2 linked regions of the Astyanax mexicanus genome follow. The protein of the gene in region 2 interacts with the protein of the main gene of each other region in a pairwise test. Links are inferred from orthologs where the notes say so. Each region holds a gene or a part of one and is shown on either strand. Other genes may lie near its edges.

The links. The genes of interacting proteins can lie anywhere in the genome.
Region 1: the proteins of ccna1 (region 2) and cdkn1bb interact in binary tests that used the Homo sapiens proteins (3 or more experiments, as listed by UniProt). The link is inferred for Astyanax mexicanus from reciprocal best matches to the Homo sapiens genes CCNA1 and CDKN1B.

Annotation. Positions count from the first base shown.
Region 1 is NC_064409.1:49,296,855-49,304,578, forward strand, and holds the start of cdkn1bb (cyclin-dependent kinase inhibitor 1Bb), read right to left. Parts: upstream 3,470-7,724; 5' UTR 3,100-3,469; coding exon 2,703-3,099; intron 1,439-2,702; coding exon 1,320-1,438; 3' UTR 1,305-1,319; intron 20-1,304; 3' UTR 1-19. Other genes in the region: yars2 (tyrosine--tRNA ligase, mitochondrial), read right to left, coding at 5,240-5,399, 6,665-6,835, 7,256-7,411. UniProt on the Homo sapiens protein: Important regulator of cell cycle progression. Inhibits the kinase activity of CDK2 bound to cyclin A, but has little inhibitory activity on CDK2 bound to SPDYA. Involved in G1 arrest. Potent inhibitor of cyclin E- and cyclin A-CDK2 complexes.
Region 2 is NC_064427.1:39,500,087-39,508,154, reverse strand, and holds the start of ccna1 (cyclin-A1), read left to right. Parts: upstream 1-4,911; 5' UTR 4,912-5,090; intron 5,091-5,976; 5' UTR 5,977-6,030; coding exon 6,031-6,186; intron 6,187-6,280; coding exon 6,281-6,491; intron 6,492-7,294; coding exon 7,295-7,413; intron 7,414-7,653; coding exon 7,654-7,877; intron 7,878-8,068. UniProt on the Homo sapiens protein: May be involved in the control of the cell cycle at the G1/S (start) and G2/M (mitosis) transitions. May primarily function in the control of the germline meiotic cell cycle and additionally in the control of mitotic cell cycle in some somatic cells.

The DNA.
Region 1 (7,724 bases), on a different chromosome or scaffold from region 2:
GGAGAGAAAGTCTTCAGCTCTGAAAAAGAGAACAGGAGACAAAATACATAGTAAGAATTTTTAACTAAGTTAGATACACAGAAACAACATTTAACATGTTTAAAAAAAAAAGTGTAAATTTGTTTTCATGTTAAAAATGTGGGCTTGTGAACCATGTAGCTGTACATTAAATCTGAGTTTCTATATTCACACCAAAGACATACTAAACTGCACTAGAAACTACAGTTTCGCTTCCAATTTTGCACAAAACCTACTATTCACGTTAATACCATCATTGTGTTAAAACGGCATATGATTATTTCCCACAACTGCCAAAGCTAATCTCTGTGCCCTGACTAGTAAGTCTGTGTAAACACTCAAACTGACAGCTAGCTAATTCCTCTACATCAGCCCTGAGGTAACAACCACCACCAATAAAAAGGTATACATCAACTCATTAGCTAACACACGAAAAAGTGTCTCCAAGTTAAAATACAGCCTTGTAGCTGCACAAATCATAAATAGATTTAAACATAATGAAATATGGAAAGGACATTTAATGCTCAAAGTTTGATAACATACGGCACGGCAGGAGTGAAGAAAACATGCGAATCCTTAACTCGAATGCAGACAAGTGATTAAGACGAGTTAAGAGATATTATAATACATTTAATGTTTAAAATAAGATAAAATAATAAAAAAATATATCATATAAACAAAAAAACAAAACAAAAGGTAATCCAGCTCCCAGCACCTAAGACCAAAAGGTAAAAACATTTACCTTAATTTTATTTTTTTGTTTATGTGCAACCATTTTGAATCTATTGCTACAATACTGGGTGTAAGCCTGGTCACGATAACCAATTCGTAATAGACCCCACAAACAATAGCAATGATATTATTGTAATTTTAAGACTATTTTATTTCATTGATTTAATGATAATAGAAATAAAAGTATTTACACATTACTTTTAATGAGAAAGAGATTTTAATATATTCATCAGACACAGAAACAGAAAAAATGTTTTAACAAATGGCTCGTTCACTTAAAATGTGAGCCAAGTAGATTCAACAGACAACATTGAGGTCAGTGAAAATGATTTAGGTCATGTACATAATACTGTGCGATAAGTCAATAATGTAATTATTGTGACAGGCCTATCAAACTGGGCAAATATAAATGAACATAGCTAAACAGTGTTGTAAAATTCAGCGAGGGAGTGTAATTTGATCCACTTTGACCAGTACACAGATAGCCATCAGTGAGTGTAGTATCAGCTCTCGTGGTGTTTGAGTACAGTGAGGTGACGTGGTGCTCTCCTTACCTCAACACGGCTCGCTCACGTCTGCCGCTGGGGGCTCGACTTCACGGGTGTGTGATCGAGCGCCTGGGTCAAACCCGGCCGGCACGAGACTTCATCCACACAGGTGCGCGAGCGTTTAGTCTGACACGAGGAATCTAATTTAGAAAGATAATAAAAAAAATAAATAAAACACACAATGAGGGATTCTGGCTACAAATGGAGCTAGACATGTTTGACTAACTCCAACAAAAAAGAAGTACCTATTAGACTGTGACCATTGTATATTTGTTAGCGAGCTGTGGAGTTTTAAATGTAGATAAACTAACTAACGCTAGATCGGCTAGTTAAGTATTTTACTATTACTATTAGTACAGGTAGGATTTTGTTCTAACTGCCTGGCCGGCTCTGCTATAGCTATATATACACAAATATATAATACACAAACTAAAACCAGAGCAATTATATAAATAGCAATTAAATAGTAGCCAGACAGCAAAAGTACGTTGAACCAACGTTCATTTTTCCATCTTTAAAGCTCTGAAACGACGTTAGTTTCAGACGTAAGGACTGATCTGTTCGTGCGCAGCGATTATTTAAGGTTGATTTAACGTTGTTTTAATATGTAGCAACTGTTTGTATTAAACTATAACAGTTACTTAGGTTACATCAAACATGTATGTTATTCTTGTTTACATTATATATCATACCTTGTACTGTGTTCTTGCAGTGTAGACATTGACATTTAAATAATATTGGGTAGAAGTTGAATGATAGGTTTAACGTTAATGATTTTTTGTCTTCAACGTTAAAAATATGTATCTAATGCAACTAAAAATACGTTTATTTTATCTTTATTTAAATTAGTGGAGATAGTTTATAAAGCCATATTATATCTAACGTAACTAAGTTACTATATTTTTTTACTTTTCTTGTAAAAGCGCCATTTTATCAGTAACACATTTTAATAAATATACGTTACTAAATTAAGAGTTAAAATTTTGTTAACTTAACTAACGTTAGCTAGGACAGCTAGTAGCGCTAGTTTACCTGGATACGTTACATTTTGAAATGAAGAGGTTGTGAACGCTGATCACTTATTACGAAAAAACTAACGACAGCTCGCAGCGTTAGTTAACGTACTTTAACACGGACTAAAACACACGTACGCGTGTTGGTTAGATAACTAGCTACCTAGCTTTAGTTTAGTTGGCTAAAATAGTAATTTACGTTTTCTGCTAAGGTACTTTAACACACACTCGTAACGTTACGTTACATACGTCGGTTAACCTAGCTAGTTAGAGTTTAGGTTAGTTGGCTAACTCGTTAGCTAGCTACGTTTTCTACTCGCCACACAAGATAATAAAAACAACTTCACTTCGCCACACAGAAGAAACAAAAATAAGATCTAGCACTGCGTACCGAGGGACGACGGTCTTTTTCTCTTGTTCTTGACGTTCTGTTGCGGGTCTCTCCTTTCGGTCTGGGTCTCGCTCCGCTCCGCGAGCCGCTCGTGATTCCCGTTTACATCCACGCTCTTATTCCCTGTCGAGCTGTAGAAGCCCGGTAAGTCCGTGCTGTCCACGGGGGACCACAGGTAGCGGCCGCGCCGAGGCGTGAAGTTGGAGAAGTCGAAGTTCCACGACTCGGTCGACGCCTTCTCCATCGCCATCAAGTGTCCCTTTAACTCCCTCTTTAACTCTTCGTGATCCACCGGCCCGAACAGGCTCCTGCAGGCGCTCGGCTTCGGCTGGTCGGGCGGCCGGTTGTCCATCCTCTCCAGGGTCGGGCTTCCGTTCGAGAGACGCACATTAGACATCGTTCTTTTATTTTTATTTATTTTTTGGCGTGTGAAAAAAAAAAAAAAAAAAACCCACAAAATAACCGATACAAACAGCGACTCAAAACAGGCGCTTTCCTCCAGGCTCAACGCGCTGCACAACAACAGCAGCAGGCATCCAGAAAAACACGCACGCTCACGCTCACACACGCTGTACTCGCCACAAGCGCGTGCATGCTCTGCAAGAGTGAGAGCGCGAGGAAAAAACACACGCCGAGAGAAATTCCCCTCCACAGACCATCAAAACAAAGCGCAGTCAAAGCGAGACGAAGTGCGCACTCCTGTCAGCCTCGCCTCGTAGTAAAAGGGAAGAAAATAACAGCAGGCTTTTCGGTGCCCAATATGGCGATAGAGGGGAGGCTGAGTGGAGAGAAAAATGATTGACACAAAGAGCTATTTAAACGGAGGTGCTCGCTGATTGGCTGGACGACACAGGCCCCGCCCCCTCTACGCTGAGCTCCTCCGGCACAGCGCACCTCCCCCACCCTGAGGAGAGAGAAAAAAAAAAACAGACACACACGCAGCACTGCAAGGTAGGCTTACTACTACTACACTAACAACAACCAACACACCACCTCTCCAACACCGTCCACACAAGCTGCACACAGCCTTCTTCTGTTTCTTCTTAAAATAATTATAACCAACCAGAGCAACTGCAGTTCATAAAACCCTGTTACTGACACTCCTGAATAGATCCCTGAATAAAACAACTCCACATCCAGCTTCAGCTCTAAACAAAACCAACCAAAGCTAGAAAGTATATTTGTAAAAACACATGCATCATCTCTGGGGGGTTTGTAGCTACATGAAAACACCAGGAGTTTAAAAAAAAAAAAAGACTTTACATGCTGATTAAATTAAAAAGCAAAAGTATGTTAGTCTAATTATTAACACATGTAACATTTGCACAGTTTTTTTGTTACTGGTTATGTTTAATTTTAAATATGAAATACCGAACACTGAGTCATTTGGGGCATTCCGTAGACAGAGAGAAATAAAGAGACGTAGCAAACAAAAATGGAACTGTGTCTGTTCCTGGAAGTGAAAAGTTCACCAGTGAAATGACTCTTCCAGGAATACTACTACTCTGATTAGGACATAGGTGTGTCTCAATGAGCCAAACAGAGTAACACAGTTACTGTTCACAGAGCAAAGCACAGAAACCCACACTCACAGCATTTTTACCTAGGTTTAAGTTGGATTTTGTTGGTGTTTGTTTGGGGGAAAAATAATATTTTTCTTCTTTTTTTGTTTACTGTTTTTTTAAAAGCTCAGGCAAAGTACACACTTTTTGAACTGCATAAAAGTCAGTGGCACACCATTTTCCTTTCTTATTTTTCCAACTTTCAGTTTTTTTAAACCATAACCATGCTTACAGTAAGACAAATTCTCATTGTGTACATTATACTGTATTTATAACCAACTACAGTTTCAGTATTGAAATGTCCAACTAGTGTAAAAATTAAACTGGGCAAAAATTATTTTAGCATATGGAATACGACTGGGCCATCCTAAAATTCTTATATAACCTTATTTTATTGCTGTTAGTATAACGTGTTTTTAGCTGTAAGCAAAATATGGGCTGTAAGACATAACTGAAAAGAATTGCATCAGAAACAGTTCAACAGATCAGTTGATTTTTTTAAAGACATTCTAACAAAGTTAAAGATCATAAAAAGATGAATAGGTCCTAAAGCAGATAGAGTGAATTAATTGGAAAGCATCCATAATACAATAAATATAAAACAGAAACACAGAAAACCTGTACAAAAAATGGAAAAGGCCTTTACTGACATCTGGTGGTGTGATTCAGAATTACATATACACACAAACAGTACAACTATTTCTGAAATACGTGCACACAAGTGTGTAAAGACACAAATGTGCACACTCTCCTCTTTCATTCCTTTTTATCCTCTGCCAGTCTGTTTCTCTATATCAACTCAGGATTTAGTGTAGTTTTGCTTGTCCTCCTGCCAGTGGTCTGACACGCCCCAAAATCTTTGTGGGTCCCGCATAATTCGATTTGTGTATGGATTGTTAGTCATTGTGCAGCACACTGCATCTTTTATCCATATTTCTTTAAATAAATATAGACATTCGCTTCGGTGTAAGTAAATCACATACTGAGCCACTTCAGGATGTAATAGTTCTTCTTGCCCACTCTGATCAAACTGAGTCCATTGGAAAGTATATGCTGTCCGGGAACCAGGACCTGCTCCGGGTTGGATGCCCTCTGGTGGTTGAACCAAACACCGCCGTCTGTTATCATTTGAAACCTAAAAACATACACATAGTATATAAATACATAATAAAAAGGAATGCTATAAAGAGGAACAGACATTTCAGAAGAAACTGCTGATATCAAAGCTTCTTTCTGTCTTTATTTTCTGAATTACTGTAGAACAATAAAACACTCAAGGTGGCGTGTTATCACAAAGAACAATTACATCTGTAATAGCATCATAGACATAAACGTTTTTGGAGACAACACATTCCCCAGTCCTTTAATTTATTACTGAATGTACAACATGGAAACACCCATATTAGAAAGGGCTAACTATATATAGCCCTTTTATTTGTTAACTGGGGAAAGAAGGGAATTGTGGCTGATTGTAATACTTTAATGCCTCTAATGGATTAAAAAAAAAACATTGTAAATTGATATTAAACTTGTGTCTTACTTGTGCAATAGAACATTTAAGAAATATCTCATTTGAATACTTAATGAGTATTTTAGGTCCATTTATAGTGTTTATGGAACTAAAATATTTAGCTATTTTTTTTAAAAGGAAGTCCTGTTAAAGATGATGGCGTATTTAAGGTCTATTGTTTATATTCTTCAGCTGTTTTTCTGCTAATAAAATCTGATTTCTTCATATATTGTCTAATTTTGTAAGACAAACTAGATCCAGTAGTAATCAAAGACTTAATTTAAAGCCTTAGTGTTTTATTTTATGTACTCCTAAGTCACAAACCTATATAAAAGCCTAGTCATACAATGAATGAATAAAAAAAAAAAAACACTGATAGAATCTTGAAAAATACTGTGATATACATTTTCGGTCATACTGCCCAGCACTAATCCAGTGCTCGTTTGACTCTGAAAGAATTCGGTTTTAAGAGTTTTGTTTACCTAGGCACCCTCAGAGGTGAACTGAATCAGAACTGAACTGAATTATTACTTAATAAGTATGCATTCTTACTAGTGTTCCTTAAGGCGCCTTATAATAAGGTGTGCCTTATGTATGAAAATAGACCAGAAAATAGACGCTTGTTGATAGTGCTCCTTATGATTCAGTGCGCAGTTCAAAAATATGGTAAACAGGACTCAATAGGTCAGTTTCTGAGTCTAGTTGTAGACTATAATTTTCTTTCAAAGAAAAGTTGTCCATTGAAAATGCTGCGTAATCTAAACCTGGGTTTAATCCCTGCCTGAGAAACTACCCCAATATCTTCCAAATTAAATGGCAGGTGAGCAACAGGGTTTTGATAGCAGCATAAACAGTACAGTTTAATATATCAACAAATAATTAAAAAGTACCCTTTAGGTCCTTCAGGAATGACTTGGGCCCTCCGACAGGCATCCAGTACTGTGGTGCCTGGCTCCAAAAAGAACTCCTTAAACGGAGCTTCTCTGAACAACTCCTTCAGCTCCACATCATCCATCTGCTCCAGAGCTTCAATGCTACTGTTATACAGAGCATTAGTGCACCTGGACAAATACAAACACACAGAGTTTATCTTACACTGCTCAAAACAAAATCTGCATTCCACTGAGATTTGAAATTGGTAAATGATTAATGAAACAATTACAATCTTTCTTATATACAGAATAACGCAATGCTTCCACATTCCTGTTATGTTTTAATAGTTGTCTTGGCCAATGACGTAATCAGTTTGCCAACCAATCAGCACGTCAATAGCCACATCTTTTTAAAACCAAAATATTTACGGGCAAAAATGCACAAATAAGTTTTATTATATTCATTTAAGATTTTAAACCTTTTCTTGCATTCACTCTTGTACATACATTCTAGTGGTTTTATTCATGTTCATGGCACAACGGCTTAAATAGGCTCTCTATTAACTTGCATTGTACTGTATGAATTGATGTTATAAAAAATGTTCTCACCTTTTGGCAGTTTCTAGACCATCCTTGCCATGTACCAGTTTGGTAACCTCAGCAGCTAGTCGTTTGTGGGCCGTTCTCTTGCCTGGATCCCGTCTCTGCTGCTCCATCACCTTCTCCACCTCCGCCAGCGGCAAGAAGGTGAACAGTTTAATGTAGCTGTGGGGGAAGGACCCTGTAGCTTAGTAACACGAATGCATACACACACACACATGGAAGACTAACACAAACATCTTTTGCTTAGTTTTTTTATTTATTTTTTGTCCTATAAATACTTTAACACTTTTTAATCATGGGTCACATATGCAGACTTCTAACATCCAAACAGCAAAACTGCAGTTTCCTGGACATGGATGAAGATGTCAAAAACAAATAAGCTCTTCATCACAAAGTCAGCATACTTTTCTGCTTACTCTGGTATTTTAATACACCTTTGCGGTTTTATTCAGCAAAAGCTGTGTAGATTCACTCA
Region 2 (8,068 bases):
TTATCACTGGAGACCAATGGACCATGTAGTCTTGTTTCATAAAGGAAACCCAGGCAGACTTCGTAGAAATGCCTTTGACAGCTTGCACTATATATGGAAGTGTTAAAATCCAAAGCTATATCTCAGCTGCCCGCCGCTTGTCAGCTCCAATACATCAAGATAATTGAATGGCACAGGCCCAACTTCATTTCCCATCGCGCAGTTTATACAAGCTTCCCAAAATGCACTTATTATATATTAGGGATGCATTAAAATAAAAAAGAAATGTCTAAAACCGAATTAAATATTTATCCAAAGGCCGTTTTTGTACATTTTGCCTTTTTGTCACTATTGAATAAATTCAATGGCCCAAATGTTTTTCTCCCTTTTACACAAAAGGCAATTACAATTTTTATATGCAGTTTTAAAAATACTTATTGAATACTAACGTTTAATATCCCAGCAGACAAAACAACAAAGCAAAATGCATTTACCTCTGCAGTGATTTTCTATTTATAAATGTATCTCATTAGTAACATTCTTTCTAATCAAGAACTCACTTCAGCAATGCAATTTTAGTCATAAATGTACCTCAGCAGTGCTGCTCAATCACACATTTACTTCAGCTGAGCCTTTTTTTTATCATAAAAGTACCTCAGCAGCGCTACTTAAATCACAGATTTACTTTAGTTGAGCCATTCTTATCGTAAAAGTAGCTCAGCACCTCTGCCCAAGTCACATTTCAGTGAAATTTACACAGACAAGAAAACAAACAAATGCTAAATCTAAGTTAGCTAAGCTAACATAACTATCCTAGCCCTAAACTGCTTGTGTCTTTTTCAGCTGGAAAACAGCTGGCATGGTTGTGAAAGGGTCATAAACAGGCTCAGTCATGCAAAAGTACAAATTAACTTAAATCTGGCATCTCTCTGCCTTACACTCTGCGAGCTATATGTATGTAGCACTGGAATAATTTATACCCAACAACTGATATATTGCACAACTGATATATTTTAGTCATACTGAACTACTTCCTCATAGTGTTTGGATTGTTTTCAGCAGTGGGAGGACGGGGTATAGTGTTGGTGTCACGTCCTGGCCTTGTCTCATGTCTCTGTGTGTTTTCCCCACGTGACCTGTGCCCCTCTGTGTCTCCTGTCTCAGTAGTTTTCCACCAAGTGTCTCATTTGTAGCTCCGCCCCTTCCCCAGGTGTTTCCACTTCTAGTGTGTTTCATGTAAGTATAAATAGCCCTCCTCTGTCACTTGTCCTTCGTCAGTCTTTGCACCTTCACCTGTCGTTCGTCTCTCTCTCTGTGTTTCAAAGCTTCTCTCAGTGTTTCCTTGTCTCCTTTAGCCTTAGTCCCTTGTTTCTCGTTTATTTCTTGTTTTCTCGTTTATAGTTTATTTCCTTGTTTATTTCTAGTTTATTCCCTTGTATATATTCCCTGTTTATTTATTATCATTATCTCTAGTTGGTTTAGTTTATGTTCTCTGGTTTGTTTAGGTTTATGTTCTTTTGTTTCACTGTTTATTTTGGTTATTGGTTTTTGGTTTATCTTTGTTATGTGTTTACTTGTTTCTTGTTTCTTTATTTGTTATTTATTTATTAAATATTTCTTTCTTACCTGCGTTTACGTCCGCCTCCACGTCTTCCCTGCACCTCACCCTGACAGTTGGCCTGCCACCACTATTGAAAACAGTCCAGTTGTGTTCTGTATAATTGATTCTTCCACCTTTTCACTTAACAAAACTGCTTTTTAAAATCTGTGATATAATTTTTTGCTTGCCAAATATTTTTAATGTTTTGCTAGCTTTATGCTCAAAATAATTCATCGTTAAAATGCACTAGAAAGAATGACATTTTTGAGGCATTCACACTAAACAAAGAAAGGCATGCCCAAACACCTGGGGTAGATCAATTCTTCCACTCAAGTACATTTTAAGGGTGTTGATTTATCTCAGCAGCAGTCCAGTAGCTGCTTGACCCTTTCATTTCTTCTCTCATTACACGCTGCATCCCTCTGTTTACACTCCAATTATTCATGGAAATGTAGTTAAATTAAAGTAAATCAAGGACTCAGAGGTGACGCAGGGGACAATTTCATACCTCCTGCCTGTCTTGGACTGGAGTGGATGGTCTCCACAGCTTTTTTACTGCAAGACAATTATAAGGTGAATCTATATAGGGCTCCTGAAGAACCTATCTAATAATGAACATTAAAAAAAGAAGCTAATGTGTAGGGATGAGTTGTTAGTAGAAAGAAAGACGACAATAAGCATTAGTCACATGCAATTAGCAATCCAAATATATTAATTTAAACTATACAGTTTACCTATATATTTAAATCCAATAGGTCAAAATGCAACTTTCAACAATATGTTGTGCTCTGTGTGTTTTTCTTTTTTGGACCATGTTTTATATTCTTCCCAGACTTTCCAGAAAAAAATATGCAGAGAATTCAGTGCCTCAAGGGCGATAGTGACTGCAGACTGTACCCACCGTGACTGAGGCTGCTGATCGATTATGGCAGTAGTAAGTGAAGGGTTCCACTTTGAGTGCCATTTAAATTTACTTATGGGACATCCTTGCTCGGCTATCCAGTTTTACTGACCAAGTGTCAATCATTAGCTGCCCAGAGCTCAGTCTGTGCCTCCTATCAAAAAGGTTAATAGGAAACTATTAAGACATATTAAGCCTCATAATATAAAGCAAAAACAATAAAGAGCAGGTCTGGATACAAATATAAAACCAAGACAAAAGGGAATATGTTGTCTAATTCATAAGATATATACATTTAGTTGTATACATCACAAAGCAAAATCTTATTATTTTCCGCATTCAAAATTAAACCAGTGGGCAGTACACACTGCATATTCAGTATATCTTTTAAGTGAGTTTGCAACTTTTCAGTCAACAAACTGTCAAAAAAATGATTTTCACTCTGTTATTGACACTGAAGGAAAAACATACTGGCCGACATGTCTGATTCCTCCTAATCCTTTTATGAGTTAGTAAAAAAATAAAAAAAATAATATTATATATATTAATATTATATATTATATATATAAATGATATTCATTTACATTTAAATATGAAACTGCCTTTTTGGACCAGCTGTTTATTCCTGTCCCTCCGGGATAAAAATGACATGACTTTTCTTTGTTGGTAGTAAAACACCAATGCATTGAATTATGTTTTACATTGGGAATTCTAGACACATTGGTATATTTTATGGTGTTGATAGGGAAATATGTAGAACTGAAAGGTATAATTAATTTCAAATAAAACTACAAAATGTCTGACCCAATATTTTTGCTGTTTTTGACAACTATGGGCAAAATGACATGTGTAACTTAACATTTCGTGATTTTTTTCGCTAATGAATTAAAACAATGTTGATTTTCAACTTTAGAATTTTTTTGTGCATATTGATTTTACATTGTTTCAGTGTTATGGGTTTATATGCAGGGTTTTTTTTTCTTAGAACCTGTACTGTTGTTTTGCAGTGTAAAAAGGGACATTAAAAAAAACCAGGGTTGCCAGATTGTTACAGTGGGATTTAAATCTGCCAAAATGCTAAGAAAATCACCCAAACAGCTGATGTTCAGTATATCAACAACATTACAAGTTTTATTCCAACATGATCTTAAATAAAATACCTTATCTTACATCTTAAATATCACCAATTACAAAAAAAAAAAAAACATTTGTATAATGTGTATTATGTGTTTTGCGTATTGTATAATAGGACACACACACAAAAAAAAGCTCTGTCTCTGCAAGGTTGGATATTTAACTACAACACTGTTGAATCTTACAACAGTTTTTTTTTCACTTACAAACTTTTAACAATCGGTAGTTTTGTCCTAGTTTTGTCAAAGCACAGCGTTTCCTCCAGATAATTTCAATCTGGCAACATTGCGAGCCGCTACACGCTGTTAATTTCAGGTTTTCTTCATGTAGCTCAATAATGTGAGGATTAAACACGACTCAACCCCTCTCTCACCTGTGTGTGTTTATGCGACCCGATGCGACCAGTGCTGGCGCATGATGATGATGAGGGCGTGTCCGAATTCATTCCTGTTTCACCACTACTTAGTGAACTACATAGTGTCTCCCAAAGTAGCGCAACACTAATGAGGGAGTAGGGAGCCATTCCGCTGTTCTGTTGAATTGTCCTACCCATCGATACATGCTTCCCAAAGGTACTGCGCATGCGCTGACCTACACAATTTATTATTTAATTTATTTATTTTTCGTGTTTTATACACTTTCCTCCGTGCGCCGCAAAACCTGCAAGCTGATTGGCTGTTTCTCCTGAGAGGCGGAACTTTCTCACTGAAACAGCTCCGTGATTGGCGTTAAGAGAAACAAGTGACCTGTCTCCTCATTAAACGATATTGGTTTTTGGGTGGGGCAAATCCACCTGTTTTTAATACACCCCCCCCCCCCCCCCCCCCCCCCCCGCCATGATCAGTTCAGAGCTTCACTAACTGTAATTCAGAGCTCAGTTCAGTGTGTTTATGGAGTTTTAAACACGGCTCAGCCACCCGTTTTTTTTAATTGTCTAAAGTTTCATGTTAATACAAGAAACAACGATAGAAGACAGCATTAAAATAATAAAAACAAGAAAAAGTAAAGAAGAACGAAAAACAAAATAACTAAAATTATATTTTAAACAGAGGCAAGTGAGAGTTCATCAGTTCTTTTACATTTCTCGTTTTTAGCCTTTCTAAAGGGATAATAATGAGGGAGTGTCCGAATTCACTTCTGTTTCCACCATTACTTAGTGAACTACATAGTGTCTCCCTATAAAGCGCTACACTACTAAGGGAGTAGGGAGCAGCCGGGGTTTAGAGACGCCGAGAAAACCGCTGTTGCCGTGGTTCCGCTGTCACGTGACCGCTTTATTAGCTGACCCCTGCCGGATTGTAAACACCTGAGCAGGACCCTGATTGGATCAATCAGCCTCTCCTATTGGTTAAACAGTTGACCTCAATGTCGATCTGCGGATATATAGTGGGTGGAAACACGTTTAGTTACTATCAGGGTTTGTTTGCGGATTTATTTGGTGTTCCTGCTTCTGAGAGAGACTTGAAGACTTAACAGGTTTGTTTATTTATGTTTTTTTTGTTCAGTTGGTTTAGTGTAGAAAGCTGAGGCATTGCTATAATGTAATGCTTAACACTGTTACACTGCTAGTACAAGCTTGTTTTTTTTTACCATATTTGACATTTTTAGGTACTAATTCAGGCCCATGTGGTTTTAGGCAGTGGTGGGTTATGTACTCAAACTTTTGTAGTTAATCTAATACTTGAGTTAAAGTAGAGATACTAAAGGCAAAATATTAATGTAGTACAAGCTCTCATTAGACCTTACCCTGAGACAGTACTGAAATATTTACCTTCAAATATCCCATATTGAAAGATATGGAAAGCAATTGTTAGCATAACTCTTAAAACACTGCTTAATCTACTTATTTATTTGAAAAGGTGTTACTTTTTTTATACACCAGTCTCTTAATGGAATTCTGATCTTGCCTTTTTAAAATGATCAAATGCAACACCTTAAGGGAAAACTTTCCAATTGGAAAATGACAACTATACAAAATGACTATAAATTTGTTTTTTTTTTTGTTCAACCTCAACGTAACAGTTTTTGTTGTGGGGTGAATGACTAAATGTTTTACAATGACTAACATTTGTGTTCTAGAAATCACAACAATTAGTTATGGAATGTGAAACATCTAATGTTTTTTAAATGGTTAAATGCTTGAAACAGACCTGTAGAAACAAATGGTACATTTTTAAAAGGCGCTAGTTTTCTCCACATGCCTCCACTCTGTAAGATGCTGTGAAAAAACAGATTCTTCAGTGTTATGTGATGCTCTCAAGATGTTCAACCACTGCCTTTTAAATAAAAACGGAACTAGTTTGTGGACCTTGCGTTGTAATAAGCCAGTCGTTTGTTACTGATTTGTTTCTCCTACACAAAGGCTGAGCTTGAGAGAATCAAGTGACCTCTACACTGCCAGCTAGTAACCAGGAAAATGAGCTCTAGCGCCCTCGCTCCGTTTGCCAGCCGTAGCAGCCGAGAGAACATCTCTGCTCAGGCAAGGATGGATGGTCCTCGTCTGAAAGCTGGCCAAAGAGTGGTTTTGGGTGTTTTGACTGAAAATGATCACCATAACAGGACTTGTAACCAAGTAAGTCTTTGTTTGAGCCCTATCATGCCTTTTATGCTTAATTCTAAAATTCAGGGTTTTAAAGTTTTTTTTTACTTTTTGTTTGTTTTAAAAGGCTGTTCCTGTTAAACGTGGATCAGGATCTCAAAATGTGTCTGGCCTTGGAATCAACACCTCAAACCAGTCCAATTCTGCAGTTAGCTGTGTTCAGGTGGCTGAGTCGGTTGTACCAGCACCCAGGCTTATTGGGGAGCAGGGAGCTGACTCGCTTATTCTTCATTCTTCAGCACTTCAGATGATAAGTGCTGTGAGCGGCTTAAGCACAGGTTAGACTTTGTCTTTACGGTCAGCGTTGCCAACTTAGCAACTTTGTCGCTATATTTAACGACTTTTCACACCCTCCAGCGACTTATATTGTAAAAAAGCGACTAGCGACAGACGGGGTTTTTGTGGTGTTATTGGAGACTTTTGGCAACTCTGAGAAACACACATGCTCCTCAGTTACTGTCCTCAGCGAGCAGTGGGTGGTGCTGTAAGCCCCGCCCACAACACTCACAGTGCAGTCTCTCAGTCAGGGCACACCCACACCGCTTCACGAACACACTGTAAATGAACTGCGCCTCATTCACCACGTAGCCTGACACCTCGTCCAGTGTCTCCCTCTTTGTAAAAAGCTGTTCAACATCTATAATAGGTTTAAAAAATAAAGGAAACTTAAAACTTTTTTTTTTTTATAAAATAAAACACAACCTAGAATAACAGTTCTGGCTAACTGCTACTCTTTTAATAACATTTAACATGGCAAAAAACTGATTAATGTATTTTACACAAATGAATTTATTTTGAGACCTGACTGCCTATTTAAAAAGCAACTGAAGTTGTTCATTTGTAACATTTCTAACATTTAGAGTTTTTTACTCACTTCTTTTTCTCTAACAACATTAATCCTTTACAGCTTCAAAAACATGTATTATGCAGATTAGGTGATGACGTCATTTAGCGACTTCTAGCGACTTTTAGGAGAGCCAATAGCTACTTTCCTTACTTAGGAGTTGGCAACACTACTTACAGTGCTGGCTTATTTTGTTATAAAATTGTATGAATATAGCTGGAGTTTGTATGTGTACAGGATCATGCTTGGATGCTTCTATGCAGTCACTGGAGGAGGAGGAAGTGGCTGTTACTGAGGATGTGTTGTGCGTACCTGAATATGCTGAGGACATCCACAGGCACCTTCGAGAGAGTGAGGTCAGTGTTTCAGTGCCCTCAAGTCTAGCTGATGGGATTTCTGCATTAAATTGCTTGCTGGTGTGGCTCTTTTGGCAGCCTTGACAGAACTGGCAGTCGGTGCTCTGTGTGCTCTCAAAGCTGTCCGGTAGGAGTAGCAGTTTGACATGATGTGGCTGACTGGTTTCATAAAGGAGTCTAGTCTTCACTCTCCTTTAGAACTTGGTCTTTGCCCTACTAACAGTTTGCTCTTCCTTCCAGATAAGGTACAGGCCCAAGCCTGGCTATATGAGGAAGCAGCCAGACATCACAAACTGCATGAGGGTCATCTTGATTGACTGGCTGGTGGAGGTTGCTGAAGAGTACAAGCTGTGCTCAGAGACTGTCTACTTGGCAGTGAACTACCTGGATCGCTTCCTATCTTCCATGTCTGTGCTTCGTGGAAAGCTGCAGCTTGTGGGAACTGCCGCAATACTTGTGGCTGCGTAAGTAAAGATGTGTTTTTTTTTTTTTTTTTTTTTTTTTTTAAATGGTTTAAGTTATTTAAACAAGTCCAGTATTTTTAAATTATTACAGATTTGGTTTTATCCCAAATTTATGGGCTACTTACTGGTAGGTTAAGTTTCCTGGATGGTTTTGAATAGCTAAACAACCTTGGGTGTGACCGAAATGGCTC